4 linked regions of the Macaca mulatta genome follow. Each later gene encodes a partner of the first gene's protein in a complex. Links are inferred from orthologs where the notes say so. Each region holds a gene or a part of one and is shown in the gene's direction. Other genes may lie near its edges. The genes, in order: ODAD1, ODAD4, CLXN and ODAD3.

Evidence for each region.
Region 2: ODAD1 (region 1) and ODAD4 share a complex: the UniProt entries of both Homo sapiens proteins name them as parts of the outer dynein arm-docking complex. The link is inferred for Macaca mulatta from reciprocal best matches to the Homo sapiens genes ODAD1 and ODAD4.
Region 3: ODAD1 (region 1) and CLXN share a complex: the UniProt entries of both Homo sapiens proteins name them as parts of the outer dynein arm-docking complex. The link is inferred for Macaca mulatta from reciprocal best matches to the Homo sapiens genes ODAD1 and CLXN.
Region 4: the proteins of ODAD1 (region 1) and ODAD3 are in contact, whole or in part, in a cryo-EM structure (PDB 9CPB), measured with the Bos taurus proteins. The link is inferred for Macaca mulatta from reciprocal best matches to the Homo sapiens genes ODAD1 and ODAD3. Residues at the interface, in XP_024834988.1 of Bos taurus: Leu31, Gln32, Gln34, Cys35, Met38, Glu41, Arg42, Tyr45, Val49, Arg52, Ile53, Gln56, Leu57, Glu59, Ile60, Leu63, Glu64, Val66, Arg67, Leu70, Arg71, Gln73, Ile74, Ala77, Gln78, Asp86, Arg89, Leu90, Ser92, Met93; in NP_001095517.1 of Bos taurus: Gln69, Leu73, Lys76, Ile77, Leu79, Leu80, Asp83, Arg84, Phe87, Tyr88, Thr91, Asn94, Ile95, Asn98, Gln99, Thr101, Ile102, Leu105, Arg106, Glu108, Thr109, Leu112, Gln113, Gln115, Leu116, Leu119, Gly122, Asp123, Val126, Ala129.

Annotation. Positions count from the first base shown.
Region 1 is NC_133424.1:60,756,219-60,763,865, reverse strand, and holds part of ODAD1 (outer dynein arm-docking complex subunit 1), read left to right. Parts: intron 1-83; coding exon 84-151; intron 152-2,294; coding exon 2,295-2,482; intron 2,483-2,650; coding exon 2,651-2,785; intron 2,786-3,339; coding exon 3,340-3,422; intron 3,423-3,576; coding exon 3,577-3,745; intron 3,746-7,647. UniProt on the Homo sapiens protein: Component of the outer dynein arm-docking complex (ODA-DC) that mediates outer dynein arms (ODA) binding onto the doublet microtubule. Involved in mediating assembly of both ODAs and their axonemal docking complex onto ciliary microtubules.
Region 2 is NC_133421.1:66,283,869-66,291,515, forward strand, and holds part of ODAD4 (outer dynein arm-docking complex subunit 4), read left to right. Parts: intron 1-2,373; coding exon 2,374-2,460; intron 2,461-4,252; coding exon 4,253-4,449; intron 4,450-6,924; exon of another isoform or gene 6,925-6,957; intron 6,958-7,128; exon of another isoform or gene 7,129-7,411; intron 7,412-7,647. UniProt on the Homo sapiens protein: Component of the outer dynein arm-docking complex (ODA-DC) that mediates outer dynein arms (ODA) binding onto the doublet microtubule. Plays an essential role for the assembly of ODA-DC and for the docking of ODA in ciliary axoneme.
Region 3 is NC_133413.1:59,293,247-59,301,394, reverse strand, and holds the start of CLXN (calaxin), read left to right. Parts: upstream 1-4,050; 5' UTR 4,051-4,210; coding exon 4,211-4,268; intron 4,269-7,797; coding exon 7,798-7,953; intron 7,954-8,148. UniProt on the Homo sapiens protein: Component of the outer dynein arm-docking complex (ODA-DC) that mediates outer dynein arms (ODA) binding onto the doublet microtubule. Seems to regulate the assembly of both ODAs and their axonemal docking complex onto ciliary microtubules.
Region 4 is NC_133424.1:12,160,786-12,168,432, reverse strand, and holds part of ODAD3 (outer dynein arm-docking complex subunit 3), read left to right. Parts: intron 1-3,833; coding exon 3,834-3,955; intron 3,956-4,075; coding exon 4,076-4,153; intron 4,154-7,647. UniProt on the Homo sapiens protein: Component of the outer dynein arm-docking complex (ODA-DC) that mediates outer dynein arms (ODA) binding onto the doublet microtubule. Involved in mediating assembly of both ODAs and their axonemal docking complex onto ciliary microtubules.

The DNA of each region.
Region 1 (7,647 bases):
GGAGAAGCATGGGGCCAAGAGGAAAGACTCTGAGCAGTGAGGTTGTAAGAAGTGGCACTGATTTTTTTCTCCTCCCCCCACAGGAGATCCACCACCTGCGGCACCTGGTCAGCTCCCTTATCCTCTCCTCCACCTCTGCCTACGCCGTCAGGTAGGGACTGCGGGTATCCTGGGGTTGTGGGACCCAGATGACTCAGGACATACCTTTCCATAAAGCAGTGGTGGGAAGGTTCAGGGCTCATGAAACAGACGTCAGAAGCTATTTTTTCCCCCCATAATATCCCCTTTTTCTCTCTCTCCCCCACCAGTTCCCCACCTCCACTCTCATGGTCCTGTTCTTTTTTTTTTTGAGACAGTGTCTGGCTCTGTCACCCAGGCTATAGTGCCGTGGTGTGATCTCGGCTCACTGCAACCTCCACCTCCCGGGTTCAAGCGATTCTCCTGCCTCAGCCTCCCGAGTAGCTTGGACTACAGGTGCTCGGCACTACGCCTGGCTGATTTTTGTATTTTTAGTAGAGACGGGGTTTCACCATCTTGGCCAGGCGGGTCTTGAACTCCTGAGCTCATGATCTACCCGCTGTGCCTCCCAAGGTGCTGGGATTACAGGCATGAGCCATTGCACCCCACTGGTCCTGTTCTCTTCCTTGGGCATGTAAATTAACCTCTACTGACCCCATCTAGCACATAAGAATGCATCTAGTGGCCAGACGCGGTGGCTCACGCCTGTAATCCCCACACTGTGGGAGGCCAAGGCAGGCAGATTGCTTGAGCTCAGGAGTTCAAGACCAGCCTGGCCAACATGGTGAAATCCCATCTCTACCAAAAATATAAAAACTTAGCTGGGCATGGTGGCGGTGGCGAGTGTCTGTGGTCCCAGCTACTTGGGAGGCTGAGGTGGGAGGATTGCTTGAGGCCTGGGGTCAGAGGTTGCAGTGAGCCGAGATTGCACCACTGCATTCCAGCCTGGGCAACAGAGTAAGACTCTGTCTCAGAAAGAAAAAAAAAAAAAAAAAAAAAGTGCATCTAGCACATATATAGTGCAGCAGGGTTCCTGGAAGCATCTGGCGAATTTGTTATTTGTCAGCATTGGTTGCAAGGGACAGAGATTCTCTCGGGCCACCTTCAGATAGAGACACGCTGTAAGGAGTTGAAGAGCTGAAGCTGCTTTAGGTGCTGGCTTCTCTCTCCTTCTCTGGGGCTCTCATGAGCTCCAGGCTCTCTCTCTCACTCCATCCCTGCCTCTTTCTCAGCTTCGCCCTCTTCTCCTCTTGCTCCAAACGCTTCCTTACCTTCTACTGAGTTCTTCTCTGGCTTCTGTTTTCTCACGGTCCCTGATCGACATCAGTTGTGGCCTGGGTCTGCCTTAGGGTCTCTGTGATTTCTCTCTTTCTCTCTCTCTGTTAAAATAAACATGGCAAAATTCACCATTTTCAAGTACAGAATTTAGCAGCATTTAGTCCATTCACAGGGTCGTGCAACCGCACCACTTCTGTCTAGATCTGAAATATTTCCATCACTCCAAAAGGAAACTGCACCTGCCACCGGGAAGTGCAGGAATCCTCGCTTCTTAGTCTTACTTGGGAGAAAAAATTCTGCCTAGAGACTGATTTAATCAACAAAGAGACTTTACTGAAGGCAAATAGAGAACAGAGAGTTTACACAGAGAGACAGTACACTCTGAAGGATGAGGAGAGCAGGCTGCTGAAAGAACGTGAGCCAGCAGCACACTGAGAGTTTTGTGTTGGGTTTTTAATATGATGTCGGACTCTTTTGAAGTTCTTGCCTCCGTCTTTTTTTTTTTTTTTTTTTTTTTTTTTGAGACAGAGTTTCGCTCTTGCCACCCAAGCTAGAGTGCAGTGGTGCGATCTCGGCTCACTGCAATCTTCACCTCCCAGGTTCAAGCGATTCTCTCGCTTCAGCCTCCTGAGTAATTGGGATTACAGGCATGCACCACCAGGTCTGGCTAATTTTTGTATTTTTAGTAGAGATGGGGTTTCACCATGTTGGCCAGGCTGGTCTCAAACTCCTGACCGCAGGTGATCCTCCTGCCTCCCAGATTGCTGGGATTACAGACTGAGCCACCGTGCCCAGCCAGTTCTCTGCTTTTGTGACCACAGGATAACTGCAACCTGATTCAGCCCCATTCCTGTGACCCCAGGCTGGCCCTGCCCATCTGGGACACCAGCTGACTCCACCCCACCCCCACAACCTCTGGCTGACCCCGCCCATCCCCAGGATCCCAGGCCGACCCCAGCCCAGCCTCCAGTCATCCTGACCCCGGCTGACCCCCCCAGGGAGGAGGCGAAGGCCAAGATGGGCTTGCTGCGGGAGCGCGCGGAGAAGGAGGAGGCCCAGAGTGAGACGGAGGCGCAGGTGCTGCAGCGGCAGATCTCACACCTGGAGCAGCTGCACCGCTTCCTGAAGCTCAAAAACAACGACAGGCAGCCAGATTCCGATGTCCTGGAGAAGCGTGAAAAGCAGGGTGAGGCCGGGGCTACCGCCTTTGCATCTCGAGGGCCTGGCCGCCCCTGGGGCACCTGCAGCACTCCTTGGTGCCCCGGGCGGGACCACACTTTGCTCACCCTCGCCCAGGAGGTCTCTGTGCTGGAGGCCACCCAGGAGGCCGACCTGCTGTTCTCTCTTCCCCCAGCCCGGGAGGTGGCCGAGGGCGTCCGGAAGACCTCCCAGGAGAGGCTGGTGCTTCGCTACGAGGACGCCCTGAATAAACTGTCCCAGCTGATGGGGGAGAGCGACCCCGACTTGTTGGTGCAGAAGTATCTGGAGAGTGAGTGGGGCCCTGGGTGGGGGGAGGAGGCCCAGGGGCCCCGGCACCCCCTGAGTCCAGTGCAGGCTGGCTTCAGCTCTGGCTCTGGGGACTCCTCCACCTGCACTGGAGGAGCAAGGTGTCAGGCCTGGGACCCGCCACCCATGTCCACTGGCATCTTACTGTGGCCCTGTCTCTGCCTCTCCCCATCCCCTCCTCTCTCCTGGGCCTGGGGTCACTCTCCACATCCTTCCCTCAACCCCGTCCCTCTCTGTTTCTCTCCTTACCCATATCTACCGTTCTCCCTGCCTGCATCTCCCCGTCTCCCTTGCTGTTACCGAGTCTCTCCGGCTTTCCCTCTGCCTTGCTATGTGTTTCTGTGTCGCCCCTGCCGTGTCTTCCCACGCCTCTTGGTCTCTGTGATTCCTCTCTGTTCATCTCTCTGCCTTGGTCTCTGTGTGGCCTTCCTCATCCTCACTTTCTCTGGCCTTCTGTGTGCCTCTCTGTCTCTCTTCTCTCTGTATCTGTATCTCTGTCTTCCTCTCTCTGGGCCCCGCCTTGCCCAACTTTCCCAGTCGAGGAGCGCAACTTTGCTGAGTTCAACTTCATCAATGAGCAGAACTTGGAGCTGGAGCATGTGCAGGAAGAGATCAAGGAGGTGAGTGAGGCCTGCCCTCTCCATCTCCTCCTCTTCTCCCTGCCTCCCTGCCCCCTCCCCTCCCTCAGCCCCCCTCCTGCCTCTTCTTCCCAGCTCCACACCCCCCAGCTCCCGAGGCTGCCATCTGGCCCAACATTCAGCCCTGTCCCCACAGATGCAGGAGGCATTGGTGAGTGCACGTACCAGCAAGGATGACCGGCATTTGCTGCAGGAGCAGCAGCTGAATGCGTTGCAGCAGCGCATGGACAAGGTGCGCTTGGAGGCTGAGCGCCTTGAGGCCCGCTTCCAGGATGTGCGGGGACAGCTGGAGAAGCTCAAGGCTGGTGAGCACCCACGGGCGCCCCCTCCCAAGCCTGGCTTCTCCACTTGGAAGGACACCATTAGCCTGTGGGGCTTGGAGGCATTGCATGGACAACCTGGTTCACTTGCTTATTGGTTGCTCCATATCTGTCCATCTTTCCAACCAGGGTCTATCCCTCCAACTGTCTCATGTCCATCTATCCATCCAGCATCTGTCCCTCCAGCTGTCCTACACCCATCCATCCATCCATCCATCCATCCACCCATCCATCAGTGCATCCATCCATCCATCTAGGGTTGATCTCTCCAACTGTCCCATATCCATCCATCCATCCATCCATCCATCCAGAGACTGTCCCTCCAACTGTCCTATATCCATCATCCATCCGGGATTTATTCCCTCATCTGTCCTATATCTATCTCTCCATCCAGGGTCTATCCCTCCATCTGTCCCATATCCATCTATCTATCCAGGGTCTGTGCCTTCATCTGTTCTATATCTATCTATCCATCCAGGATCTACCCCTCCATCTGTCCTATATCCATCCATCCATCCATCCACCCAGGGTCTATGCCTCCAACTGTCCTTATCCATCATTCATCCAGGATCTATTCCTTCATCTGTCCCATATCTATCTATCCATCCAGGGTCTATCCCTCCATCTGTCCCATATCCATCTATCTATCGAGGGTCTATTCCTTCATCTGTTCCATATCTATCTATCCATCCAGGGTCTACCCCTCCATCTGTCCTATATCCATCTGTCCGTCCATCCATCCATCCATCCATCCATCCATCCATCCATCTATCCATCCATCCATCCATCCATCCATCCATCCATCCATCCATCCAGGATCTGTTCCTCCAACTGTCCCATGTCCGTCCATCCATGCAGGGTCTGTCCCTCCAACTGTCCCATGTCCGTCCATCCATCCATCCATCCATCCCTCCATCCATTGTCTATCCATCTGTCTGCCTCCAACAGCCCCACATCCATCTGTTCATCCATTTGTCTGCAATGACATTTGACTTTTGTCTTCCTAGTCTTAGTCTTAGTTACCAAATTTCTTCTTAGTCTTAGTTACCAAAAATGTTATTATTTGTAAAGAAAATGATGATAAAATATAATAGCAATGTTTATTATGTGTCATTCACTCTGCTAGGCACTTAGGCATTATTCCACTTGTTTCACAAAACACTGAAAAACAGATGCTGTCCCTCCCACTGTCCCATATCCGTCATCCACCCATCCATTCATCTATCCAGTATTCATCTATGGATCATCCGTGTACATCTGTCTGTCTATAAATGCCTAGCAATGGGACTGACGGGTCTTAGGGTAGGTATATGTTGATATTTATTGGAAAATGCCAAACAGTTTTCCAAACTGGTCGCAAGATTTTATGCCCTCACCTATGTGAGCATATGGGGGTCCCAGATGTTCCACACCTTCTCCACCGCTTCCTAGTGGCAGCCATTTTTTATTTTATTTTATTTTTGAGATGGAGTCTTGCTCTGTCACCAGGCTGGAGTGCAATGGTGTGATCTCGGCTCACTGCAACTTTCACCTCCTGGGTTCAAGCGATTCTCCTGCCTCAGCCTCTCGAGTAGCTGGGACTACAGGTGTGTGCCACCACGCCCAGCTAATTTTTGTATTTTTAGTAGAGTCAGGGTTTCACCATGTTGGCTAGGATGGTCTCGATCTCTTGACCTTGTGATCTGCCCGCCTCAGCCTCCCAAAGTGCTGGGATTACAAGCGTGAGCCACCGCGCCCGGCCATCGGCCATTTTAATATTAGCCATCTAACGTTTGTGCAGTACTATCTCTATTAATTTAATTGGCATTTCCCTAGTGACTAATAATATTGAGTATCATATTGGCCATTCGGATATCTTTGTGAAGTTCCTGTTCAATCTTGTGCACTCGTTTTTTTAAAAGTTGGGTTTTCTTGCTATAACTGAGTTGTAGGAGTTCTTTGTATATTCTAGACACTAGACTTTTGGTAAATATTTTCTCCTATACTGTAGCTTGCCTTTTCACTTTTTTTGGTGATGAACTGAAGTTTCTTAGTTTTGAGATCTAATTTATGAAATTTTCTTTTTGTAGTTAGTGACTTTGTGGCCTGCCTGAGAAATTTTTGCCTGTCCTGAGTTTACAAAGGCATTGTGCTGTGTTTTCTCCTAGAAGTTTCATTGTTTGAGCTCCCACATTGAAGTCTGTGACTTATGCCAAATTGATTTGCATGTATGGTATGAGGTAGGGGTCTAGAGTTTCCTTTTTAAAAAAATTTTTAGATTTTTTTCATTTATTTATTTTTTTGAGAGGAATTTTGCTCTTTTGCCCAGGCTGGAGTGCAGTGGCGCAATCTTGGCTCACTGCAACCTCTGCCACCCAGGTTCAAGCAATTCTGCCTCAGCCTCCCGAGTAGCTGGGATTATAGGTGCACACCACCACATCCAGCTAATTTTGGTATTTTTAGTAGAGATGAGGTTTCGCCATGTTGGCCAGGCTGGTCTCAAACTCCTGACCTCAGGTGATCCACCCGCCTCGGCCTTCCAAAGTGCTGGGATTACATGTATGAGCCACTGCACCTGGCCCTTCCCTTTTTTTTTTTAGAGATGGGATCTTACTATGTTGTCCAGGCTAGTCTTGAACTCCTGGATTCAAGTGCTCCTCCTGTCTTGGACTCCCAAAGTGCTGGGATTACAGGCATGAGCCACCACACCTGGCCGAGTTTCTTTTTTTTTTTTTTAGACAGAGTCTTGCTCTGTCGCCCAGGCTGGAGTGCAGTGGCCGGATCTCGGCTCACTGCAAGCTCCGCCTCCCGGGTTCACGCCATTCTCCTGCCTCAGCCTCCCAAGTAGCTGGGACTACAGGTGCCCGCCACCTCGCCCGGCTAGTTTTTTGTATTTTTTTTTAGTAGAGACGGGGTTTCACTGTGTTAGCCAGGATGGTCTTGATCTCCTGACCTCGTGATCTGCCCGTCTCGGCCTCCCAAAGTGCTGGGATTACAGGCTTGAGCCACCGCGCCTGGCCTCTTTTTTTTTTTTTTTTTATCCTTTCCGTGGGTATCAGTTGCATCCACCTGTGCATCCTCCCATCGTTCTCTTTTATTTCTATTATTATTATTATTATTATTTTTTAATTTGAGAGAGAGTCTCGCTCTGTCCCCCAGGTTGGAGTGCAGTGGCACCATCTCCATTCACTGCAACCTCCCCCTGCTGGGTTTAAGTGATTCTCCTGCCTTAGCCTCCTAGTAGCTGGGATTACAGGAGCACACCACCACGCCCAGCTAATTTTTGTATTTTTAGTGGAGAGTGGATTTTGCCATGTTGGCCAGGCTGGTCTCAAACTCCTGACTTTAGGTGATCCACCCACCTCGGTCTCCCAAAGTGCTGGGATTACAGGCGTGAGCCACCACACCTGGCCTCATCTTTCTTATTTTTCAGGAAGTAGCCATGCAGAGCACTCAGGAGTCAGGCTGTCCTGTTTTTTGTTTTTTGTTTTTTTGGTTTTTTTTTTTACATTTATTGTTAGCTTTTTTTATTTATTTATTTATTTATTTATTTATTTATTTATTTATTTGAGATGGAATCTCACTCTGTCAGCCAGGCTGGAGTGCAGTGGTGTGATCTCGGCTCACTGCAATGTCCGTCTCCTGGGTGCAAGCGATTCTCCTGCCTCTCGAGTGACTGGGATTACAGGCACGCACTACCATGCCCGGCTAGTTTTTTCGTATTTTTAGTAGAAACAGGGTTTCACCATGGTGGCCAGGCTGGTCTCAAACTCCTGATCTCAAATGATCTGCCTGCCTTGGCTTCCCAAAATGCTGGGATTACAGGCGTGAGCCACTGCACCCAGCCTGTCCTGGGTTTGAATCTCAGCTCCACCAATTATGAACCTTGGTGTGTGGCTTCCTCCTTG
Region 2 (7,647 bases), on another chromosome or scaffold:
CAGCAATGAGGTGTGGCTATAGCCTAGGAATAGTCAGGGAAGCAGATAATTTAGTTAAAATGTCTTGACCTAATAGGGGAGCTGGGCAGGTGGGGATAACTAAAAAGGAGTGTGTAAAAGAATGTTGTCCAAGTTGGCACCGGGGAGTTTTAAGGGGTCTAGAAGCCTGGCCGTCAATATCCACAACAGTTATGGAGGCAAAGGAAATAGGCCCTTGAAAAGAAGGTAATGTGGAGTAGGTAGCCTCTGTATGGATTAAGAAGGGGATGGACTTACCCTCCACTGTAAGAGTTACCCAAAGCTTGGCATCCATGATGGTCCAGGGGGCCTCCGAGGTGATTGGGCAGTGTTAGTCTTTAGCTGCTAAGCTGAGGAGATCTGGGAAGGAGTCAGCCAAGGAACGTTGGGTTTGGGCTCCAGGGGCTTTAGGAGCGGCGGCAGTGTGAGTCGGACAGTCCGACCTCCAGTGGGGGCCTGCACAGACATGGCTTAGGAGGAATCCCAGGCTGTGGGCATTCTGAGGCCCAGTGGCCAGGCTTTTGGCATTTGAAGCAAGGTCCACGAGGATGTTTTGAAGGAGCCCCTAGGAGCTGTGGCTTGTATGTTCTGAAGTTCTTGTACGCTGGAGACGTGGTTGTGGGTTGTCTTACGGTGGAGGCAAGTAGCTGTAGCTCAGAAATGTGTTGTTGTCTGGCTTCCTCCTCTCTATTATTGTACACCTTGAAGGCGAGGTTGATTAATTCCTGTTGCAGGGTTTGAGGGCCGGATTTCAATTTTTGAAGCTTTTTTCTAATGTCAGGAGCTGACTGGGTGATAAAATGGATATTAAGAATAAGGTGTAGGCTGGGCACGGTGGCTCATGCCTGTAATCCCAGCACTTTGGGAGGCTGAGGCAGGTGGATCACGAGGTCAGGAGATCGAGACCATCCTGGCTAACACGGTGAAACGCTGTCTCTACTAAAAATACAAAAAATTAGCCGGGCGTGGTGGCGGGCGCCTGTAGTCCCAGCTACTCGGGAGGCTGAGGCAGGAGAATGGCGTGAACCTGGGAGGTGGAGCTTGCAGTGAGCCAAGATCGTGCCACTGCACTCCAGCCTGGGCAACAGAGCAGGACTCTGTCTCAAAATAATAATAATAATAATAATAATAAGGTGGCCTTCTGGCCCCTCTGGGTCTAGGGCAGTAAAGGGTCTAAGAGTTACTGCTAAGCAGGCCATGAACTGGGCTAGGTTTTTATATTTGATGAAAAAGAGCCTAAACGCTAACTGATTTGGGAGAGGTGGGAAAAAGAAAAAGGAACATTAACCTTGACTGTGCCTGTAGCTCTAGCCACCTTTTTAAGAGGAAATTGTTGGGCAGGTGGGGGAGGGCTAGTAGTGGAACGAAACTGTAAGGGGGACCAGGTGTGAGGAGGGGAGGTGATAAAAGGATTATAGGGTGGGGGAGCGGAGGCTGAGGAAAAATTGGGACCTGGAGAGGAGCAGCCTGGGGAGGAGAGGTCAGATGGGTCTGTAGAAAAGAAAGATTCAAAAGACTCAGTGACGCTTGGGGTTGGGACTGAAGGGACAGGCGGGAGGCAAAGGAGGAGGATGTGGGACAAGTCGCATTGGGAACAGGGACTAGGGAGGGACCGATGTGTAAAAGAATGCCTGGACGTCAGGCACCTCAGATCGTTTGTCCATTTTTCGACAAAAATCATCCAGGTCTTGCAAAATGGAGAAATCAAAAGTGCCATTTTCTGGCTATTTAGAACCACTATGGGCAACTTTCCGCCCTCCATTCCCCCATTACAGAGTTTGTATTGGGGCCAAGCGGTGTTGCAGAAGAAAATAAGATGCTTAGGTTTTAGGTCAGGCGAGAGTTGAAGAGGTTTTAAGTTTTTAAGAACACAGGCTAAGGGAGATGGGGGAATGGAGGGCGGAAAGTTGCCCATAGTGAAGGAGGTAAGTTTAAAGAGAAAGGTAGAGACACAGAGAAGGGGTGTAGGGAGCAGCCCTGGGCTGCAATGTGGGTGAGCAGCCAAAGCAAGCATCCCCGCAATTGACTTGTCACCAAGGGAATGTGGGTGAATGACCAAGGCAGGCGTCCCTGCGGTGATCAGACACCAATGGAATGTGGGTGAATAATCAATCAGGCATCCCCGCAGTGATTAAAAACCAAGGGAAGACTGTCTTCCCAAGTCCGTGCTCAGCGCCGGAGTTTTGGGTCCACGGATGAAATGTGTCTCATCCTTGCCAGGCTGGACATTGTCCCTCCAACTGAAACCCTGAGTTTCTGAGGCCAGGGATCCTGTCTTTGCCTTCGTTCCTATTTCCACAGTGCCTAGAACAGCTGATTTTCTAGTGAATGGCTTATTTTGCTTCTTCCCTACAGTGACCTTCCTGATGCAAAATCCAGAGCCCTTGACAACATTGGCAGAGTTTTTGCCAGAGTTGGGAAATTCCAGCAAGCCATTGACACGTGAGTGACCAAGAATTGCCTCTCCCCCACCTCCATGGTTAGAACTTCTCATCCTAACATGAAAATTTGTTTCCAGTGATAAGAATCCAGCCTGGGCGGCCGGGCGTGGTGGCTCAAGCCTGTAATCCCAGCACTTTGGGAGGCCGAGATGGGCGGATCACGAGGTCAGGAGATCGAGACCATCCTGGCTAACACGGTGAAACCCCGTCTCTACTAAAAAATACAAAAAACTAGCCGGGCGAGGTGGTGGGCACCTGTAGTCCCAGCTACTCGGGAGGCTGAGGCAGGAGAATGGCGTAAACCTGGGAGGCGGAGCTTGCAGTGAGCTGAGATCCGGCCACTGCACTCCAGCCTGGGCGACAGAGCGAGACTCCGTCTCAAAAATAAAAAAAGAATCCAGCCTGGGCAACATAGGAAGACTCCCTCTCTACAAAAAAAAAAAAAAAAAAAAAAATTAGCCGGGCATACTGTCCTGTGCCTGTGGTCCCAGCTACTTGGGAGGCTGAGGTGGGAGGATTACATGAGCCTGGGAGGTTGAGGCTGCAGTGAGACATGATCACACTACTGCACTCCAGCCTAGACCACATGTTACCAGTGGAAGATATCCCAAGTTATTGGCAGTGAATCTGTACAGGTCTACAACAACCTCAATTCTTGCCTCCTCAGAAGAAAGACTTTGAATGAGGAGTGGAAGTTTATTAAAAAGCTAGGCCGGGGCCGGGCCCTGTGGCTCACGCCTGTAATCCCAGCACTTTGGGAGGCTGAGGTGGGCAGACCATGAGGTCAACAGATCGAGACCATCCTAGTCAATATGGTGAAACCCCGTCTCTACTAAAAATACAAAATTTAGCTGGGCGTGGTGGTACGTGCCTGTAATCCCAGCTGCTCAGGAGGCTGAGGCAGGAGAATCACTTAAACCTGGGGAGGCAGAGGTTGCAGGGAGCCGAGATTGCACCATTGCACTCCAGCCTGGGTGACAGAGTGAGACTCCATCAAAAAAAAAAAAAAGGCTGGGCACGGTGGCTCACGCCTATAATCCCAGCACTTTGGGAGGCAGAGATGGGCAGATCACGAGGTCAGGAGATCGAGACTATCCTGGCTAACACATCACCGTGCCTGGCTAATTTTTGTAATTTTTTGTAGAGATGAGGTTTTGCCATGTTGCCCAGGCTCGAACTCCTTGGCTTAAGCAGTCCACCCGCCTTGGCTTCCCAAAGTGCTGGGGTTACAGGAATGAGCCACCATACTTGATAATATTCTTAAACATTATTTGTGTTGTGTGTATGTGTGTGTGTGTTGAGATGGGGTCTTGCTCTGTCACCCAGTCTTGGAGTGAAGTGGCATAGTCTTGGCTTACTGCAACCTCCACCTCCCAGGTTCAAGTTATTCTTCTGCCTCAGCCTCCTGAGTAGTTGGGGCTACAGGCGCCTGCCACTATGCCTGGCTAATTTTTGTATTTTTAGTAGAGAGATGGTTTTTCCATGTTGGCTAGGCTGGTTTCGATCTCCTGACCTCAGATGATCTGCCCACTTCAGCATCACAAAGTGCTAGAGACATGAGCCACCACGCCAGCCTCAACTGTTGTATTAAATTCCACGTTCCATAGATGTTACCAAAATAGTCTCAGTAGTCTTAAAATATTGTTATGCTTATGAACTCCACCCTTGTATCTAAAAGAACTGGTAGTTGGAGAACAAGTTTTATTCCGTCACCCAGCAGGAAGCCTTGGCATCCTGTGGCCTAGTGCATGGTTTTGGGGGATGAAGCTGGCCCTTGTTCTTCATGTCCCCAGGTGGGAAGAAAAGATCCCTCTGGCAAAAACCACCCTGGAGAAGACCTGGCTGTTCCATGAGATTGGCCGCTGCTACTTGGAGCTGGACCAGGCCTGGCAGGCCCAGAATTATGGCGAGAAGTCCCAGCAGTGTGCCGAGGAGGAAGGGGACATTGAGTGGCAACTGAATGCCAGTGTTCTGGTGGCCCAGGCACAAGGTATGGGCTCAGAGATGACCACCCTACCTTTCCCAGCCTTCAGGCCCAGCTCACACCAGGGCTAGGAGTCCTGTGGACTGAGTTTACCATCCCAGTGTTTTTCCTTCCCAGATTGTTCTGAGAGTGGGGATAAGCCACCCCATTTTGACCAGCACGTGGTGAGTGCCTACATTAAGCAAAGCTTGGTTAGAGCTTGGGGCACCTTGAGCCTACCTCTGCCCTTGAGGAGCTCAGCTGCACACCCACACAGCATGTCGTCCTCACAACAGAGCCCATGTATTGAGCCACTTTCCTTCTGCCTTGGTACTTTTTTTTTGTTTTGTTTTGTTTTGTTTTCGAGATGGAGTTTCGCTGCTGTTGCCCAGGATGGAGTGCAGTGGTGTGATCTCGGCTCACTGCAACCTCCGCCACCCAGGTTCAAGTGATTCTCCGGCCTCAGGCTCCCGAGTAGCTGGGATTACAGGCGTCTGCCACCACGCCTGGCTAATATTTTGTGTTTTTAGTAGAGACAGGGTTTCACCATGTTGGCTAGGCTGGTCTCAAACTCTTGACCTCAGGTGATCCAACTGCCTCGGCCTCCCAAAGTGCTAGGATTACAGGCATGAGCCACCGTGCCTGGCCCTGTTTTGTTTTTTGAGACGAAGTCTCGCTATGTCACCCAGGCTAGAGTGCAGTGGCTTGATCTTGGCTCACTGCAACCTCGGCCTCCTGGGTTCAAGTAATTCTCCTGCTTCAGCCTCCAGAGTAGCTGGGATTACAGGCACACACCACCATGACTGGCTAATTTTTGTATTTTTAATAGAGATGGGGTTTCACCACGTTGGTCAGGCTGTTCTCGAACTCCTGATATCAGGTGATCCATCCGCCTCAGCTTTCCAAAGTGCTGGGATTATAGGCATGAGCCATCACACCCAGCCAGCATTCTTGTATTGAATCATTATGATGTAGGCATTATAATCATCTTCATTTTAGAGATAGGGAAACTGAGGCACAGAGAGGTTCAGTAGACTCTCCAAGCCCCATGAGGGAACCTTTTTTTTTTTTTGTCACCCAGGCTGGAGTGCAGTGGCGTGATCTTAGCTCACTGCAACCTCTGCATCCTGGTGTCAAGTGATTGTCCTGTCACATTGAGATAACTTTAAATTACATATTCAGTTAAAAATCAGGCTGGGGCCAGGCGCGGTGGCTCACGCATGTAATCCCAGCACTTTGGGAGGCCCGGCCTCAACTCTGTAAATTTTCTTTTTTTTTTTTTTTAATTTTTTTTTTTTTAGACGGAGTCTCGCTCTGTCGCCCAGGCTGGAGTGCAGTGGCCAGATCTCAGCTCACTGCAAGCTCCACCTCCCGGGTTCCCGCCATTCTCCTGCCTCAGCCTCCCGAGTAGCTGGGACCACAGGCGCCGCCACCTCGCCCGGCTAATTTTTTGTGTTTTTAGTAGAGATGGGGTTTCGCCGTGTTAGCCAGGATGGTCTCGATCTCCTGACCTTGTGATCCGCCCGTCTCGGCCTCCCAAAGTGCTGGGATTACAGGCTTGAGCCACCGCGCCCGGCCAACTCTGTAAATTTTCTAAAAATCATTGAACTTTATCCTTACTAGCTGCTGAACTTTATTTATTTATTTTTTTGAGAAGGAGTCTCACTCTGTCGCCCAGACTGCAGTGCAGTGTCACGATCTTGGCTCATTGCAACCTCCGCCTCCCAGGGTCAAGTGATTTTCCTGTCACATTGAGATAACTTTAAATTACATATTCAGTTAAAAATTAGACTGGGGCCCTGTGCGGTGGCTCACACATGTAATCCCAGCACTTTGGGAGGCCAAGGCAGGTAGATCACCTGAGGTCAGGGGTTTGGTACCAGTCTGACCAACAAGATGAAACCTCATCTCTACTAAAAATACAAAAATTAGCTGGGTGTGGTGGCACACACCTGTGGTCCAAGCTACTCAGGAGGCTGAGGCAGGAGAACTGCTTGAACCTGGGAGGCAGAGGTTGCAGTGAGCCCAGATTGTGCCACTGCACTCCAGTCTGGGTGAAAGAACGAGATTCTGTCTCAAAAAAAAAAAAAAAAAAAAATTATCCTGGCCACAGTGACTCACACTTGTAATCCTGGCACTTTGGGAGGCCAAGGTGGGAGGATCGGTTGAGCCCAGGAGTTTGATACCAGCCTGGGCAACATAGGGAGATCTCATCTTTATAAAAAATAAAGCAACATAAAGAGACTGCATCTCTACAAAAAATAAAAAATTAGGGCCAGGCACGGTGGCCCATGCCTGTAATCCCAGCACTTTGGGAGGCCGAGGTGGGCAGATCACAAGGTCAGGAGTTCAAGACCAGCCTGGCCAACATAGTGAAACCCCATCTCTACTAAAAATCCAAAAAAATAGCTGGGCGTGGTGGTGCACGCCTGTAATCCCAGCTACTCGGGAGGCTGAGGCAGGAGAGTTGCTTGAACCTGGGAGGTGGAGGTTGCAGTGAGCTGAGATCACGCCACTATACTCCAGTCCAGGCGACTGTGAAAAAAAAAAAAAAAATTAGCTGAGTGTGGTGGCAGGCACCTGTGATCCCAAATATTTGGGAGGCTGAGGTGGAAGGATCGCCTGAGCCCAGGTTGAGACTGCAGTGAGCTATGATCATACCACTGCATTCCAGCCTGGGATACAGAGCGAGACCCTGACCCTCACTCAAAAAAAAAAAAAAAAAAAAAAAAAAGAGAGAAAGAATGAAAGAATAGTCCTGAATGAGTTACGCTCTTGAATAAGCATGTGACTCCTCTGCAGACCTTTAATGTCAGAGTCCCACTGGTCTTGGAAGGAATACTGTGACTCCATATATTTTCAGAATTACATTTAAATTTTCTTTCAAGTGTAATAGCCTTCTTTTTTTTTTCTTTTTTGAGATAGAGTCTTGCTTTGTCAGATAGAGTCAGATTTTAGTGCAGTGTCACATCCCTGCATTCATGGCTCACTGCAGCCTCAACCTCCCAGGCTCCAGTGATTCTCTCTCCTCAGTGTCCCAAGTCGCTGGGACCACAGGTGCATGTCACCATGCCTGGCAAATTTTTTTTTTTTTTGGTAGAAACAGGGTCTCCCTATGTTGCCCAGGCTGTTCTGGAACTCCTGAGCTCAAGCAGTGCTCCCACCTTGGCCTCCCAAAGTGCTGGGATTACAGGTATGAGCCACTGTGTCTGGCCAAGTGTAATA
Region 3 (8,148 bases), on another chromosome or scaffold:
GCTGAAAATTCCCTGGTTAGGGCTCAAATGTTGCGAGATGCTCTGGGCTTGGTAAGAAAAGGTGTGCATATCATCTCTGAGGCAGCTTTGCAGGTAGCACAGTTGCCATGACTCTAGCTACAGCAGCTCATGACCCAGTGCTGAGGGGATCAAGCCCAGCACATTCAGCAGGATTTCTTGGTCAGCTCTGCCAGGTCTCGGAGAGCCAGATTCTTTACTGAAACCATCAAACCTGCTGACATTATGGCTATCATAAAAATTAACCGGCACAGGCCACCTCTTAATTTACAGCTTTGTAAATTACATGTTAAGATACAAGAATCCTATCCTTAGTAAACCTTACGCATTTGTCTTACTGGCTGGTCACTTGATTACAGTAAAAAAAAAAAAAAAAAAAAAAAAGTCTAGAAATACGTCAACACCAGTGAATATCGAGTGTGAATTTTGGAGAAAGGTCAGTTTAAATGAAAGCTCTTCTATATTGCCCGGCTCCCTTTAAAGGCTCCATTGTGGTTACTGTACCAGGGACTCAGCCCCAGGGTGCTGCAGGGAAACCTGGGGTTCATTCCTGCTGGAGTGGTTCTCCCACCACTTTCCATCGATACAGACCACACAACATGGACCGTGTGATGAAATTTCAGAGGTACAGACAGATGATAAACAAACAAATGCAGACATACAGCAAGTGAAATAGACTTAAATATATGGAGGGAGAGAGAGAGAGAGAGAGAGAGAGATCATGAGATTTAGTCTAGTGGGAAGGAGAAGTTAGAAAAAACAAGTTGTTTCACACAGTAGTATGTGCTAAAAAATGGTACCAAGGAAGAGAATGGCTGGGTGGGGAAGGGTTCACTCCACATAGGGGAGCAGAAAGAGCTCTTTGAAGAGTCGCCCCTGGGAGTGGTTGGGGTGAAAAATATGCAGAAATTGTGCATAAGACAGTGTTCTATGGTCTGAATACAGAGACTCTAGCTTGTCACCACAACCTTAGAGCAAAGGAGAGAGTGACAAGTGGTGGAGATTTGGAGATTCTACCACCCAAACAACTGGTCACATGAGTAACTCTGACTTTTGTATCACTGTCTCCACAAATAAAAGTAGTAAAGTTGAATTTGTATTATGCAGGTAACTAACCTTTCTATTTTCCTTTTATTCAAGCAATTTTATAATAGATTTGTGATATACTTGGAGATCAATTCTATGATGTCATTTCCTCAACAGTTTCCAAGGGCCTTCATCATAAAAGGTCCACATTAAGGAAAACAATTTCATCAAGTCAAGGTCCAAGCTGTTTATCATGGCAACAATCCAGTGAATGCTGAGTCAAAGGGAAGATTGTTTTGCACACAAAACTAAAGGAAACATAGCATTAATAGTCACTTTAATGTACTTCTGTGTTTACAAAGTTATTCACCTTGAGGTTCCTTGGACTTTTGGAAAGTTATATGATCATTTCATGCACAGTAAAATTTATGTCCAATACAAATTAAACACAATCCTTTATTATTCCATTATTGATTGATTTAATATGAAGTAGCCTCTTAGGCTTAATTGCCTTACTCTGAGAAAGCCCTTAGTGGAAAGCAGTCCTGTGTCTACTCAGCATAAGCAACTAAAACTACAAATAGAAACTTCAACTTGCTTTGAAATGTTATTCACTGACTCAATCAGGCCTGCAACTTTTTTTAAAGTCTAAAAATATTAAGTTCCAAAACTTCACAAGAATGTAATGAAAGCTCTGAAGTTTACCCATATGTTGACAAAACATACCCCAAATAAACACTGTACTTTCCCTGAAAAAGATGGTAAGACCTTATTATAAGGTCAACTCTGCAAACCACTCTCTTAGATAAGTGAGATTCACAAAACAATGCATTTGTATGGATAGATAGATAGACATAGAGATACAGAGATGTTTTTGGCTAAAAGAACAGCATGGAAGAAAGAACTGGAGGAGGAAAGAAGTGGAAAAGGAGGAGGTGGCTTAAAAAGTTTGCTCAACAGGTTAAGAAGTTTTGACCTGGCGCATTTTAATTTCAACAATCTGTGATATTACCCCTACATCTTTTTATTATTGTTTTAACTTTAAGAGAATATGGTTGATGGGCTCTGGGCCTGAAACTCGTGAAGGAATAACTAATTCGCTCAGCTGTAGCAAGCACCCAGTGTGTGCGATCTCCCCAGGCCCCCAGAAATAACCACCAATGTGCTCACCAGCAGCGCAGGCCTGCTCCCCAACACAGGCCTAGTACATCAGACAGGGAGCCCACAGTGCCTCTTAGTAATTACTGACAACCACTCTTTCAGTACCTTGTCTCTTGAAGTGAGCAGTGCAGCAATCTCTAGGAATTAAGTATTTGCTACAGCTCTGTGATCTAACAGAAATCAATAAGGTGTCACAGGTAAGTATAATTCAAATATGTCCAGTCTTTCCCTTTTGTTCTCTATGGTTTCAGGAATTTCACTCTTCTAGACAAGGGGATATGTAGAAACACTATTTAAAAAGGCTACTGTTACAAACTCATAATCACCATCAATTCATATCAGGTAGCTGTTGTTAGGTCATTTGCTTTAGGATAAAATACAGTCCATGCCTTTACCAAGCACCCTTTGCTCTAGTTTCAAACAGCATCCCAATCCTTCATTCCAAAAACAAATGAAACAGTAAAGAGAAACCAGAGACCCTGACATTGGAATTATTTCATTTGGGATTATTATTCATGGTTAGTAGAATTTTTCTGCTTCAGTCTAAAAATGCCAGTATGTGTACAATAACATAGTTTGTCATTTTCCCCTCTGAAGTTAAACAAGCAGGCACTCTGGAGAATACTGTAGATTTGGTGCTCCTGGCTGAGCCACCCCTTTTTGTTGCTGCCTTAGCTGAAAGGGAGGTATCCCCTCTGTGGTCAGGAAAAGCAGAAAGTCCTCCCACACTGAAGATGTAAGGACTATCCTTTGTCTGCAGACACAGAACCTGTCTTTCAAATAAGTCAAGGACCAAGGTTACTGAGATATTTTCCAGAAAAGCAAGATTGGGCTGTATCCCACACCCAAGTGGTAGTTGTCAGCCCCTGTTTTCATTGGGGGGAATGCCTATTTAAGCAGTATAAAAATTCCTAGTGACTTTATTCAGATTCCACAGACAACTTCCACCTTTTGAGAGTGAGATGAGGGCAGTGGGAAAAGAAAAAAAAACTACAGTCACAAGCCACATAGCGCCATTTAAGTCAATGTCAGACAACATTAGGACAGTGGTCCCATAAGATATAACACTGTACTGGAACACTGCTCCTTCCCCAGAGTGCTTAGCACTCTGTCCTAGCTGCCTGCAGCATTCCGCGCAGTGACCTGCTGTGCAGGTGTGCAGCCCAGAAGCAATGGGCTGTACCATACAGCCCGGCGTGCAGTAGGCGAGGCCATCTAGGTTTGTGTCGGTGCACCGTGATGTGCACACACTGATGAAATCTCCTCGTGACCTCAGAACGCATCTCCATCCTTAGACAACCCGTGGCTGTATTCCAATTTCCCTTTGCTCTCAGAAACACAACTAAAAGCTTGAAGACCTCAGGTGACAAACTGCCTCCTGTTACCGCACCAAGACTGACAGCCTAAGCGTGGCTCCGCCCAAAGAGCAAGCTCCTCGCCCTACGACAGGAGGCCCGGCGAGACAGTCCTCTGGACAGCACCCTTGCTGTTTTGTGACGCTGCTCCAGCCCCCAGGATGTCCAAGATCTTAGGCTTCCCTTTGACGCGTGACGCTCACCACCCGAAACATCTCTCATACAGCGTGCACACCACATTTCAGATTTTAATGATTTACACTGCAATCAAGCAAAAAGGTTGCGAACTCAAAAGCCAGCAACAACTGAACATTTAAACTCCAACGTCCACAATCAGAATACAGCCCTCAAGGCGGCCAGCTGGGACCCTGCAGGCAGCACCGCGCACGCAGGACCTAGAGCACGCCGCCGTTGAGCCGATGGGCGGAGCTCAGTTGTTGCCATGGCCACGTCGCGGGCAGCCTGGGAGCCAATCCGCGGCGGATCGAGCCGTTGCCTTGGCTACACCGTCTGTTAGGGCAGCGCACGCTATCAGTGACTGAGACCTCACCGCGTTGCCCCAGCACCAGGGCTCGCGGGGGTCCCGGGAGAGTCTCGGCAGCCGTGCGCCCCGAGACCCCCGCCGCGGCCCGATTCTCTGAGGGCCAGGCATGAACCGCAAGAAGCTGCAGAAGCTGACAGACACCTTAGCTAAAAATTGCAAGCATTGTAAGTAAGAATCTAGTGCTGGACAAGTCGAGGCTCCTGGACCGAACCTGGGTCCCACCCGGTGCCAGGGTCCGCTGTTCTGCCTGCTTCCGGCCTCCTGGGCTTGTGTGGGCTACCTACCGCCCCTCCACTCCGGCCCCTTAGGCGTAAGTCAGTGGGTGAATCCCCGGGGTGCTAGCTCCTTGGGTTTGATCTTAGGAACCCAGGCCTCCACCTCTAGTGCTACCTACACTCCCACACATGCATTTACTTGCTTCTCCAAGCCTCTTATTTTACCTGATAGAAACGTGATGTTAGCCTCAGTGAGGTGTAAAATAAATGCTAAAACCCACTGGTCTCAAGAAAAGTACCACCACCAACGTGCACTCACCCTGCTTTCTAGCTCGCATATACACTCGCAGGTACAAGTTCTGGAAGCTTACCAAGAGACCCATAGGAGAAAACGGTGCTCAACTTCTCAACATCTTTAGGAGATGTTAGTTGTGTCATCTCATCTGTGCCTCAGAACAAGATTTGTTTGGAAAACAGAGTTCAGCACAACTAAACACGCGGAAAAGAATGGATTCCCAACTTTAGACTCCCACTTTCCTGTGGCCCCTAGTGTTGAAAGATAAAGGAGACTTTGCAGGTGACAAGATGAGCCCTATTTGAAGGCACCTGCTCTAATCTCGCATTTGAAAGGGTGGTACTGGAATTTCATAGGAAACTTTGAGTTTATATTCAGACTGAAAAACATAATTGCACTTGAGCAAGGAAACCGTGGGTATGGTTTAGATGAGGAAGATATTGCCTGTCGAGCAAACTTAGAAGTTGTATGTTCATTGCAAATCTACTGGTCACTTGAAGAAACAGAAGCAACAATTCCCCAAATATCTGCATTGCTCAAAGAAGAAGGAATAAACATGTTGATGTAGTTTTAGAGATCATAAGATCTAGTGCATTCTAATTATCATTAGTGTCTGATTTAATACCTGGTAAGAAATGCTCTCTTAGTGGGATGGTGACGTAAATGAATGTTATGGTATGTGTAAGCATCTTAAAATGTCTAGGAAAAAAAATCCTGTAATTTAAGGTATTATTATGACTACTATACTCTGATGAGAGTTTTGTTCTGTTATTGTTTTTCTTAAAACACTTTCATTTCTGGGAGAAGAATAGGTATTCTTCTAGTAAACATCTAGTAAACATTTTTGATAAATATTCAAAAACAATGCAATAGCTGCTATACACAATACTGATTTTGTCCCTTTCCATAAGTTTGAATTTGAGTTAGTCTCTGTTCAGTAAGTTTGAATGCATTGCAAACAATCATTCTGTAAACAATCAAAAGGTGAGTGTATATTTTTAAAGATAATTAAAAATATGGCAGGAAAAAGTCTACTCTTGATTTTTTTATTTACTAAAAAAATTTTAATGAGTCTTACAAACTTAGATGATTATTACAGTCTATAGAAATAGTTATAAGTCATGGGTATTATAATAATTTTAAATTTTCTTTAACAGAAGGAACTTTCCCCTAAAGTTAAATTTTGTTTTAGTTGCAAGACAATAAAACTATCAAGAGTCAATGGATAAATTTTGTAGAATCAAAGAAGAGTGAAAGATCTTAAGAGAGCATCTAGTTCATGCACCATTCTACAGATATGTTCTGCAGGACACATTTAGAGCATTCCAAGAAGATGAAAATCTGTTCTTGAATTTTCTTCAGTTTCATTTAATATTGTATTCTAGAATTTAAGAAATGTTTAGCAATAAAAGTTTTCTTATGGCTAACCTTTGATCCTTTGGGTAATAAATTAAACTAACTTTTTAAAATTTTTATTTCAGCTGAGATGGAAAAATGGCTAACCAACATCCCCTCTACTACCATTTTATATACATGAACAGAGTACATCATTCTTCATGCAGGTTTTTCTTCCCCAACCACTAATAGCTCTTGCTTTTTAAGAGGTTTGTGTGTGTGTATATGCGGTTACATGTAACATGAAATTTACTATTTTAACCATTTTAAGTGCTTACATCCTCCTCCAGAACTTTTTCATCGTCCCCAGTGGAAACTCTACCCATTAAATATTAACTCACCATTCCCTCCTCATCCTAGCCCCTGGCAACTACCATTTTACTTTGTCTCTATAAATCTGACTAAGTACCTCATATATGAGGAATCATACAATATGTGTCCTTTCGTGCCTGGCTTATTTGACTTAGTGCAATGTCCATAAATGTTCATCTATGTGTCAGAATTTTCTTCCTTTTTAAGGCTGAATAATACTTCGTTGTATGAATACGCCACATTTTGTCTATCCATTCCTCCATTGATGGACTCTTGCATCTGTCTTTTGACTGTTGTGAATAATGACACTATGAACATTGTTGTGCAGGTTCCTGCTTTCAGTTCTTCTGAGTATGTATTTAGAAGTAGAGTTCCTGGATCATACGATAATTGTGTTTAATTTTTATGAAGCGCCATCATACTGCTTTCCAGTGACTAACAGCTGTTTTTAAAATCATAACCATTATATTGTTTCCTACTGTTTATTTGCTGAATCTTTTTTCCCAAAGTTTTTAGTGTTTCTCTTTAAATGTGGTTCTCCAAACCAGATATCTCACAAAAGCCTGTACTGACCTCTAGGATGAGGTGTGATTTTTCCATTCCTAGATGCTGTCTTCTGTTATACACATGCAGGTTTTGTCCTTGTTTGTTAAAATGCTCAATCATAGTTTTGTCTGGTTTCTAAATAAATTTTCCCCAACTTCCTCCCATACTTGGTATTTGGGCTTTTATATTATCAAGACCAGGCAATAACCCTTCCACCTACATTCTCAAATGGGGATTGGAACACAAATAATTAACTCGGTATTTATAACCATGGTCCTTTATACAATAATGTGTATGAGCAAGTATCAGTGTGTGTATATATCCTTTAAATAAAAATGTCCTTCCTCCAAACTATTACTGAATACTTGCATGTCAATTTTTACATAATCCTCAAGAAGAGCCATATTGGGTGCTAAAATATGCTTTAAAGCTTTTTATTGGAAAACTGGTGACTCTAGTTTCCAAAATCTGGCTTATGAATTCATGAAGCCTAAAGTGAAATGAAAATCGTTACCTAGTTCTCATGAACCTGACATCTATTTCCAGGGAAAAGAAGTTGTAAATCTCATGAATGCCATAGTAAAAATATTGAGAAAAAGTTACCATTTTTTAATCTTACCATTCTTATTTTGAGTCATATATCTACCAGCCTTGTAGAGTTTAGAATCTGACACCACTATCATTATTCCAGTAACTTGGCTAACATTTTCATATTTTTTCCCTAAACATGAGAATTCCTGTTTGGAGGGTATGCTACTTCTTTAATTTCTATTAAGTTAAGGGTCATTAATCTCAAAACAGGAGAGTCTTCTATTGACAATTACCTATTTGATGTCTTTGATGTTGTTTGTCAGTAAACTTATTGCAAAATTTAAGTTAGAACTTAAAGATTAAAGATTCACTTTTGTTATATCTATTTTATTCTTTCAGTTAATAAATTTGAAGTGAACTGTCTTATAAAGCTTTTTTATAGCTTGGTGGGAGCAGTAGAGAGGCAAGGTCTGGTTATTGGACTGGATCGTAATGCATTTCGAAACATCCTGCATGTGACATTTGGAATGACAGATGACATGATTATGGACAGAGGTAAGAGACACGCAAGATTCAAATTAGCCAAATCCAGCCATAACTGGGAAAAAAAAAGGTTTGGTGCTTGGATATCCTCTTGGTAGGAAGCTTAGTGTTTTGCATTCCCAGTGTCATTGGAATATACAAATTTAATTTTGAAAAGATCACAGAAAAGGAGGTAATATCAGCTTTATTTTGTGTATTTAAGAAGAC
Region 4 (7,647 bases), about 49 Mb from region 1:
TCCTGTAATTTATTTTCTCTCTCTCTCTCTTTTTTTTTTGGCAGAAATCTCACTCTGTTGCCAGGCAGGAGTGCAGTGGAACGATCTGGTCTCACTGCAACCTCCACCTCCCAGGTTCAAGCAATTCTCCTGCCTCAGCCTCCAGAGTAACTGGGACTACAGGCACGCGCCACCATGCCCAGCTAATTTTTGTGTTTTTAGTACAAAGGGGTTTCACCATATTGGCCAGGGTGGTCTCAATCTCTTGACTTCGTGATCCGCCCACCTCAGCTTCCCAAAGTGCTGGCTAGGATTACAGGTGTGAGCCACTGCACCCGGCCTTTTTTTTTTTTTTCTTTTTTTTTAGACAGGGTCTTGCTTTGTTGCCTAGGCTGGAGAGCAGTGGCGTGATCTCGGCTCACTGCAATCTCTGCCTCCCAGGTTCAAGTAATTCTCCTGCCTCAGCCTCCTGACTAGCTGGGACTACAGGTGCATGCCACCACACCTAATTTTTATATTTTTAGTGGAGACAGGATTTCACTATGTTGGCCAGGCTGGTCTCGAACTCCTGATCTCAAGTGATCCACCGGCCTTGGCCTCCCAAAGTGCTGGGATTACATGTGTGAGCCACTACCCCCAGCCTTCTTTCTTTCTGACAGGTTCTTGCTATGCTGTTCAGGCTGGAGTGCGGTGGTTCGATAATAGCTGGGCTCAAGCGAGCCTTCCACCTCAGCCTCCTGAGTAGCTGGGACTACAGGCATATGTCACTGTGCTTGGCTAATTTTCTTACTTTTTGTAGAGATGGGGTCTCACTATGCTGCCCAGGCTGGTCTCGAACTCCTGGGTTTGAGCAATCCTTCCTCCTCAGCTTCCCAAAGTGCTGGGATTATAGGCATGGGCCACCGCACCTGGCCTGAGCATAGATTTTAGAGCCAGATTTTCTGGGTTGGAATCCTGACTCTGCATAATAGTTGTCAGCCTTGGGGGACTAAGAGTAACCTAATTGTTCTCAGTTTCTCCATGTGTGAAATGGGGATAGTAACGGTACAACATAGGTACCTCAATTGTGTTAAGTACTTAGAACAGTGCCTGGCACATAGCAAAGTACCATAAGGTGTAAACCAATGGTTCTTGTTAGAAAAGGGTTAGTTTGCCCCACAGTGGCCATTTGGCAATGTCCTAAGACATTGAGACCAGCATGGCCAACACGGTGAAACTCCGTCTCTACTAAAAATACGAAAAATTAGCCAGGCGTGGTGGCAGGCATGTCTGTTGTGGGTGTGTGTCTTCCACTGGCATCTAGCGGGCAGAGGTGAAGGTGCTGCCCAACATGCTACAAAACACAGGAGAGCTCCCCACAGCAAATAATTATTCGGCCCAGTTGGTCATCCTGAGGTTGCAGAATCCTTGTGTATAAGCCATTATTATTGTTTTTGTTGATATTATTAAGAGGTAATCATGGCTGGGCGAGGTGGTTCACGCCTGTAATCCCAGCACTTTGGGAGGCCGAGGCGGGCGGATCACGAGGTCAGGAGATCGAGACCATCCTGGCTAACACAGTGAAACCCCATCTCTACTAAAAATACAAAAATTAGTGGGGCGTGGCGGCGTGCGCCTGTAGTCCCAGCTGCTGAGGAGGCTGAGGCAGGAGAATGGTGTGAACCCGGGAGGCGGAGCCTGCAGTGAGCCGAGATCGCACCACTGCACTACAGCCTGGGCGACAGAGCGAGACTCCATCTCAAAAAAAAAAAAAAAGGCTGGGTGCGGTGGCTCAAGCCTGTAATCCCAGCACTTTGGGAGGCCGAGACGGGCGGATCACGAGGTCAGGAGATCGAGACCATCCTGGCTAACACGGTGAAACCCCGCCTCTACTAAAAAATACAAAAAACTAGCCGGGCAAGGTGGCGGGCGCCTGTAGTCCCAGCTACTCAGGAGGCTGAGAAAGGAGAATGGCATAAACCCGGGAGGCGGAGCTTGCAGTGAGCTGAGATCCGGCCACTGCACTCCAGCCTGGGCGACAGAGCGAGACTCCGTCTCAAAAAAAAAAAAAAAAAAAGACCGGGCGCGGTGGCTCAAGCCTGTAATCCCAGCACTTTGGGAGGCCGAGGCGGGCGGATCACAAGGTCAGGAGATCGAGACCACAGTGAAACCCCGTCTCTACTAAAAATACAAAAAATTAGCCGGGCACGGTGGCGGGCGCCTGTAGTCCCAGCTACTCAGGAGGCTGAGGCAGGAGAATGGCGGGAACCCGGGAGGCGGAGCTTGCAGTGAGCCGAGATCGCGCCACTGCACTCCAGCCTGGGCAACAGCGTGAGACTCCATCTCAAAAAAAAAAAAAAAAAAAAAAAAGGGTAATCTTGCATGATTGCTTGTGACCTTAAGCAATTTAATCAGCCCAAGCCTCTGTCTTCTCATCTGTGCAAGGCGTATGATATGCCTATGCATATGGATACCTATTGGCACATGATATATGGCATTTGGAAACCTCTTAGTCCAACATCCAAAACATAATAAATGCTCAAAGTGAAGTACAGTTGATCCTTGAACACCATGTGTTCATGTATATCATTCATCCTTTCAAGTTTAAAAAAATTGAGATGGGCAGGCCGGGTGTGGTGGTTCATGCCTGTAATCCTAGCACTTTGGGAGGCTGAGGCAGAAGGATTGCTAGAGGCCAGGAGTTCGAGACCAGCCTGGGCAACATAGACCCTTGACTCTACAAAAAATAAAGTAGCTGGATGTGGTAGCACATGCCTCTAGTCCTAGCTACTTGGGAGGCTGAGGCAGGAGGACTGCTTGAGCCCAGGAGGTTGAGGCTTCAGTGAGCAATGATAGCACCACTGCACTTCAGCCTGGGTGACAGAGCAAGACCCAGTCCCAAAAAAGAAAAGAAAAGAAAATACAACAGTCATGGGATGCAAAACTTGAGTATACAGAGGGACAACCGTTTGTATCTGCAGTTTCCACAGGGCTGACTGTAGGACTTGAGTATGGAAGGATTTTGGTATACTCGGATCCTGGAACCAATTATCTGAGTATACCCAGGGACAGGGGTTTTTTTTGTTTGTTTGTTTGTTTGTTTTGAGATGGAGTCTTGCTCTGTTGCCCAGGCTGGAGTGCAGTGGCAGGATCTCGGCTCACTGCAGCCTCCACCTCCGGAGGTCAAGTGATTCTCGTGCCTCAGCCTCCCGTAGCTGGGATTACAGTCACCTGCCATCATGCCCAGCTAATTTTTGTAGACGCGGGGTTTCACCATGTTGGCCAGGCTGGTCTTGAACTCAGGCGGATGACCTCAGGTGATCCGCCCACCTCTACCTCCCAAAGTGCTGGGATTACAGGAAAGAGCCATTGTGCCCAGCCTCACACCTGGCTAATTTTTGTATTTCTAGTAGAGACGGGGTTTTACCACGTTGGCCAGGCTCAGGCTGATCGACGATTGCATTCTTACAATATTAAGTTGATGAGGCCAGGCGCGGTGGCTCACGCCTGTGATCGCAGCACTTTGGGAGCCCGAGGCGGGCAGATCACCTGAGGTCGGGAGTTCGAGACCAGCCTGACCAACATGGTGAAACCCCGTCTCTACTAAAAATACAAAATTAGCCAGGTGTGGTGGCACATGCCTGTAATCCCAGCTACTTGGGAGGCTGAGGCAGGAGAATCTCTTGAACCCGGGAGGCAGAGGCTGTGATGAGCCGAGATTGCACCATTGCACTCCAGCCTGGGCAACAAGAGCGAAACTCTGTTTCAAAGAAAAAAAGTTGATGATTGCAAAAAAGGTCTTCCCTCTGGGATATTGCACCCACCCAGCCACCCTCCCAGTAACTGTGTGTCTGTCCACTTCCCCTGCCTGCCAGAGGGTGACCGGAAGGCTTTTTTTGAGAGCTCTCAGTGGAACATTAAGAAGAACCAGGAGACCATCAGTCAGCTCCGCGAGGAGACTAAGGCACTGGAACTAAAGCTGCTGGACCTGCTCAAGGTAAGGGGCGCAGGGGTGGGTGGAGGGTTCCTGTGGCAGGGATGGGGGGAGCAAGGAGGTAGCACCTGGCCTCAGGGGGAAGAGGCATGCTGAAAGGTGACTGGACTTCCCTCCTTGCAGGGAGATGAGAAAGTTGTCCAGGCAGTGATTCACGAATGGAAGTGGGAGAAGCCATACCTGAAGAACAGGACAGGCCAGGTTTGCCCACCCTCACTCCACCTCCTCCTTCATTTCCAGCCTGGGTCCCCTCACCTATGAACTCCAGGCTCACCTCTCCAATCCTTCCTGCACAGTAGCTGCCATTCGTATGCTCATTCAATTAAATCTTTATTACTAACTGTCCTTGTATCTGGCATCCTGGCATGGTAGTAAATGCAGTGAAAAAGCAGACCAAGTCTCCACTTCTAAAAGCAGCTCGTATCCTAATAGGGAAAACAGGTTTAAAAAAAAAAAATCACAGCCGGGTGCAGTGGCTCACGTCTGTAATCACAGCACTTTGGGAGGCCGAGGCAGGCAGATCACCTGAAGTCGGGAGTTCGAGACCAACATGGAGAAACCCCCGTCTCTACTGAAAATACAAAACTTAGCTGGGTGCGGTGGCGCGCATTTGTAATCCCAGCTACTCAGGAGGCTGAGGCAGGAGAATCGCTTCAACCTGGGAGGTGGAGGTTGCAGTGAGCTGAGATCACGCCATTACACTCCAGTCTGGGCAACAAGAGCGAAATTCCATCTCAAAAAATAAATAAATAAATAAAATTAAAAAAAAATTTTTTTTAAGTCACTTGAACCCCGGGGGCAGAGGCTGCAGTGAGCTGAGGTTGTGCCACTGTGCTCCAGCCTGGGCGACAGACGTGAGACTCCGTCTCAAAAAAAAAAAAACAAAACAATGACCGACCAGTGGCACATGTGTGTAATCCCAGCTACTCGGGAGGCTGAGGCCGAAGGATTGCATGAGCCTAAAAGTCTGAGACTGTAACGAGCCACGATTACACCACTGCACTCTAGCCTGAGTGACAGTACAACCTGTTTCTTTAAAAAAAAAAAAAGAAGAAGAAAAAAAAGGCCGGGTGCAGCGGCTCACGCCTGTAATCCCAGCACTTTGGGAAGCTGAGGCGGGCAGATCACGAGGTCAGGAGATCGAGACCATCCTGGCTAAACCCTGTCTGTACTAAAAATACAAAAAATTAGCAGGACGTGGTGGCGGGTGCCTGTAGTCCCAGCTACGCAGGAGGCTGAGGCAGGAGAATGGCTTGAACCCAGGAGGCGGAGCTTGCGGTGAGCTGAGATTGGTGCCACTGCAGTCTAGCCTGGAAACAGCATGAGACTCCGTCTCAAAAAAACAAAAACAAACAAAAAAACAGAAACAAAAGATAAAAAATCAAAATAAAGGCCAGGCGTGGTGGCTCGTGCCTGTAATCCCAGAACTTTGGGAGGCCGAGGTGGGCGGATCACCTGAGGTTGGGTGTTCGAGACCAGCCTGGTCAACATAGCAAAACCCCGTCTCTATTAAAAATACAAAAAATTAGCTGGGCATGGTGGTGCATGCCTGTAATCCCAGCTACTCGGGAGGCTGAGGCAGGAGAATCACTTGAACCCAGGAGGTGGAGGTTGTGGTGAGCTGAGATCATCCACTGCACTCCAGCCTGGGCAACAGGACCAAAACTCTGTCTCAAAATAAATAAATAAATAAATAATAAAAAATAAAACACAGTCTAGGCATGGTGGCTCATGCTTGTAATGCCAGTGCTTTGGGAGGCCAAGGCTGGAGGATTGCTTGAGCCCAAGAGTTCGAGACCAGCCTGGCAACATAGTGAAACTTTGACTCTACAACAAATACAAAAGATTAGCCAAATGTGGTGGCGCAGGACTCTAGTCCCAGCTACTTGCCAGGCTGAGGTGGGAGGATCACTTGAACTGGGGAGGTCGAGGCTGTAGTGAGCCATGTTCATGCCACTGCACTCCAGTCTGGGTGACAAAGCAAGGCCTTGTCTCAAAAAATAATTTTTTTTTTTTATTTTTAATTTGAGACGGAGTCTCGCTCTGTCGCCCAGGCTGGAGTGCAGTGGCCGGATCTCAGCTCACTGCAAGCTCCGCCTCCTGGGTTTATGCCATTCTCCTGCCTCAGCCTCCGGAGTAACTGTGACTACAGGTGCCCGCCACCTCGCCTGGCTAGTTTTTTGTATTTTTAGTAGAGACGGGGTTTCACCGTGTTAGCCAGGATGGTCTCGATCTCCTGACCTCGTGATCCGCCCGTCTCGGCCTCCCAAAGTACTGGGATTACAGGCTTGAGCCACCGCGCCTGGCCTCAAAAAATAATTTTTAAAATTAAAAGGCTGGGCATGGTGGCTCACGCCTGTAATCCCAGCACTTTGGGAGGCCTAAGTGGGTGGACCACTTGAGCTCAGAATTTCATGACCAGTCTGGGCAACATGATGAAACCCTGTCTCTACCAAAACTACAAAAACGTAGCCAGGCGTTGTGGCATGTGTCTGTGGTCCCAGCTACTGAGGATGCTGAGGAAGAAGGATCACTTTAGCTCAAGGGGCAGAGGTTGCAGTGAGCCAAGATCGAGTCACTGCACTCCAGCCTGAGTGACAGGGTAAGACCCCATCTCAAAAAACAAAACAAAATAAAACTGGGCTGGGTACAGTGGCTCATGCGTGTAGTCTCAGCACTTTGGGAGGCCCAGGAAGGAGGATGGTTTGGGCCCAGGAATTCGATACCAGCCTGGGCAACATAGCGAGACCCTGCCTGTATAAATTTTTTTGTTTGTTTTTTGGTTTTTTTTGAGACGGAGTCTCACTCTGTCGCCCAGGCTGGAGTGCAGGGGCATGATCTCGGCTCACTGCAAGCTCCCCCGCCAGGTTCACACCATTCTCCTGCCTCAGCCTCCCAAGTAGCTGGGACTACAGGTGCCTGCCACCACGCCCGGCTAATTTTTTGTATTTTTAGTAGAGATCGGGTTTCACCATGTTAGCCAGGATGTTCTCGATCTCCTGACCTCATGATCTGCCTGCCTTGACCTCCCAAGGTCCTGGGATTACAGGTGTTAGCCACCGCGCCTAGCCTAAACAATTTTTTTAAAAGAAAAAAATGGCCAGAAGTCAGCCGGGTGAGGTGGCTCACGTCTGTAATCCCAGCACTTTGGGAGGCCGAGGCAGGTGGATCACCTGAAGTCAGGCATTCGAGACCAGCCTGGCCAACATGGTGAAACCCTGTCTCTACCCAAAATACAAAAATTAGCCGGGTGTGGTGGCACATGCCTGTAATCCCAGCTACTTGGGAGGCTGAGACAGGAGAATTGCTTCAACCTGGGAGACGGAGGTTGCAGTGAGCCAAGATCGTGCCAGTACACTTCAGCCTGGGCAACAGAGCGAAACTTCTTTTCAAAACAAAACAAAAATTAGCCAGGTGTGCTGGTGGGAGCCTGTAATCTCAGCTACTTGGGAGGCTGAGGAGGAGAATGGCGTGAACCCAGGAGGAGGAGGTTGCAGTGTGCCGAGATTGCCCCACAGTACTCCAGCCTGGGCGACAGAGCAAGACTTCATCAAAAAGAAAAAAGAAAAGAAAAGAGAAAAAAATTTTTGTTTTAAATTTGTAGAACCCTGAGCCGATGTAAGATCACCAAGGTGGTGGATATAGACAGAGAGAAGACCCTGGTGCTCTCTCTCCAAAAACAGCACAGAAGGGGT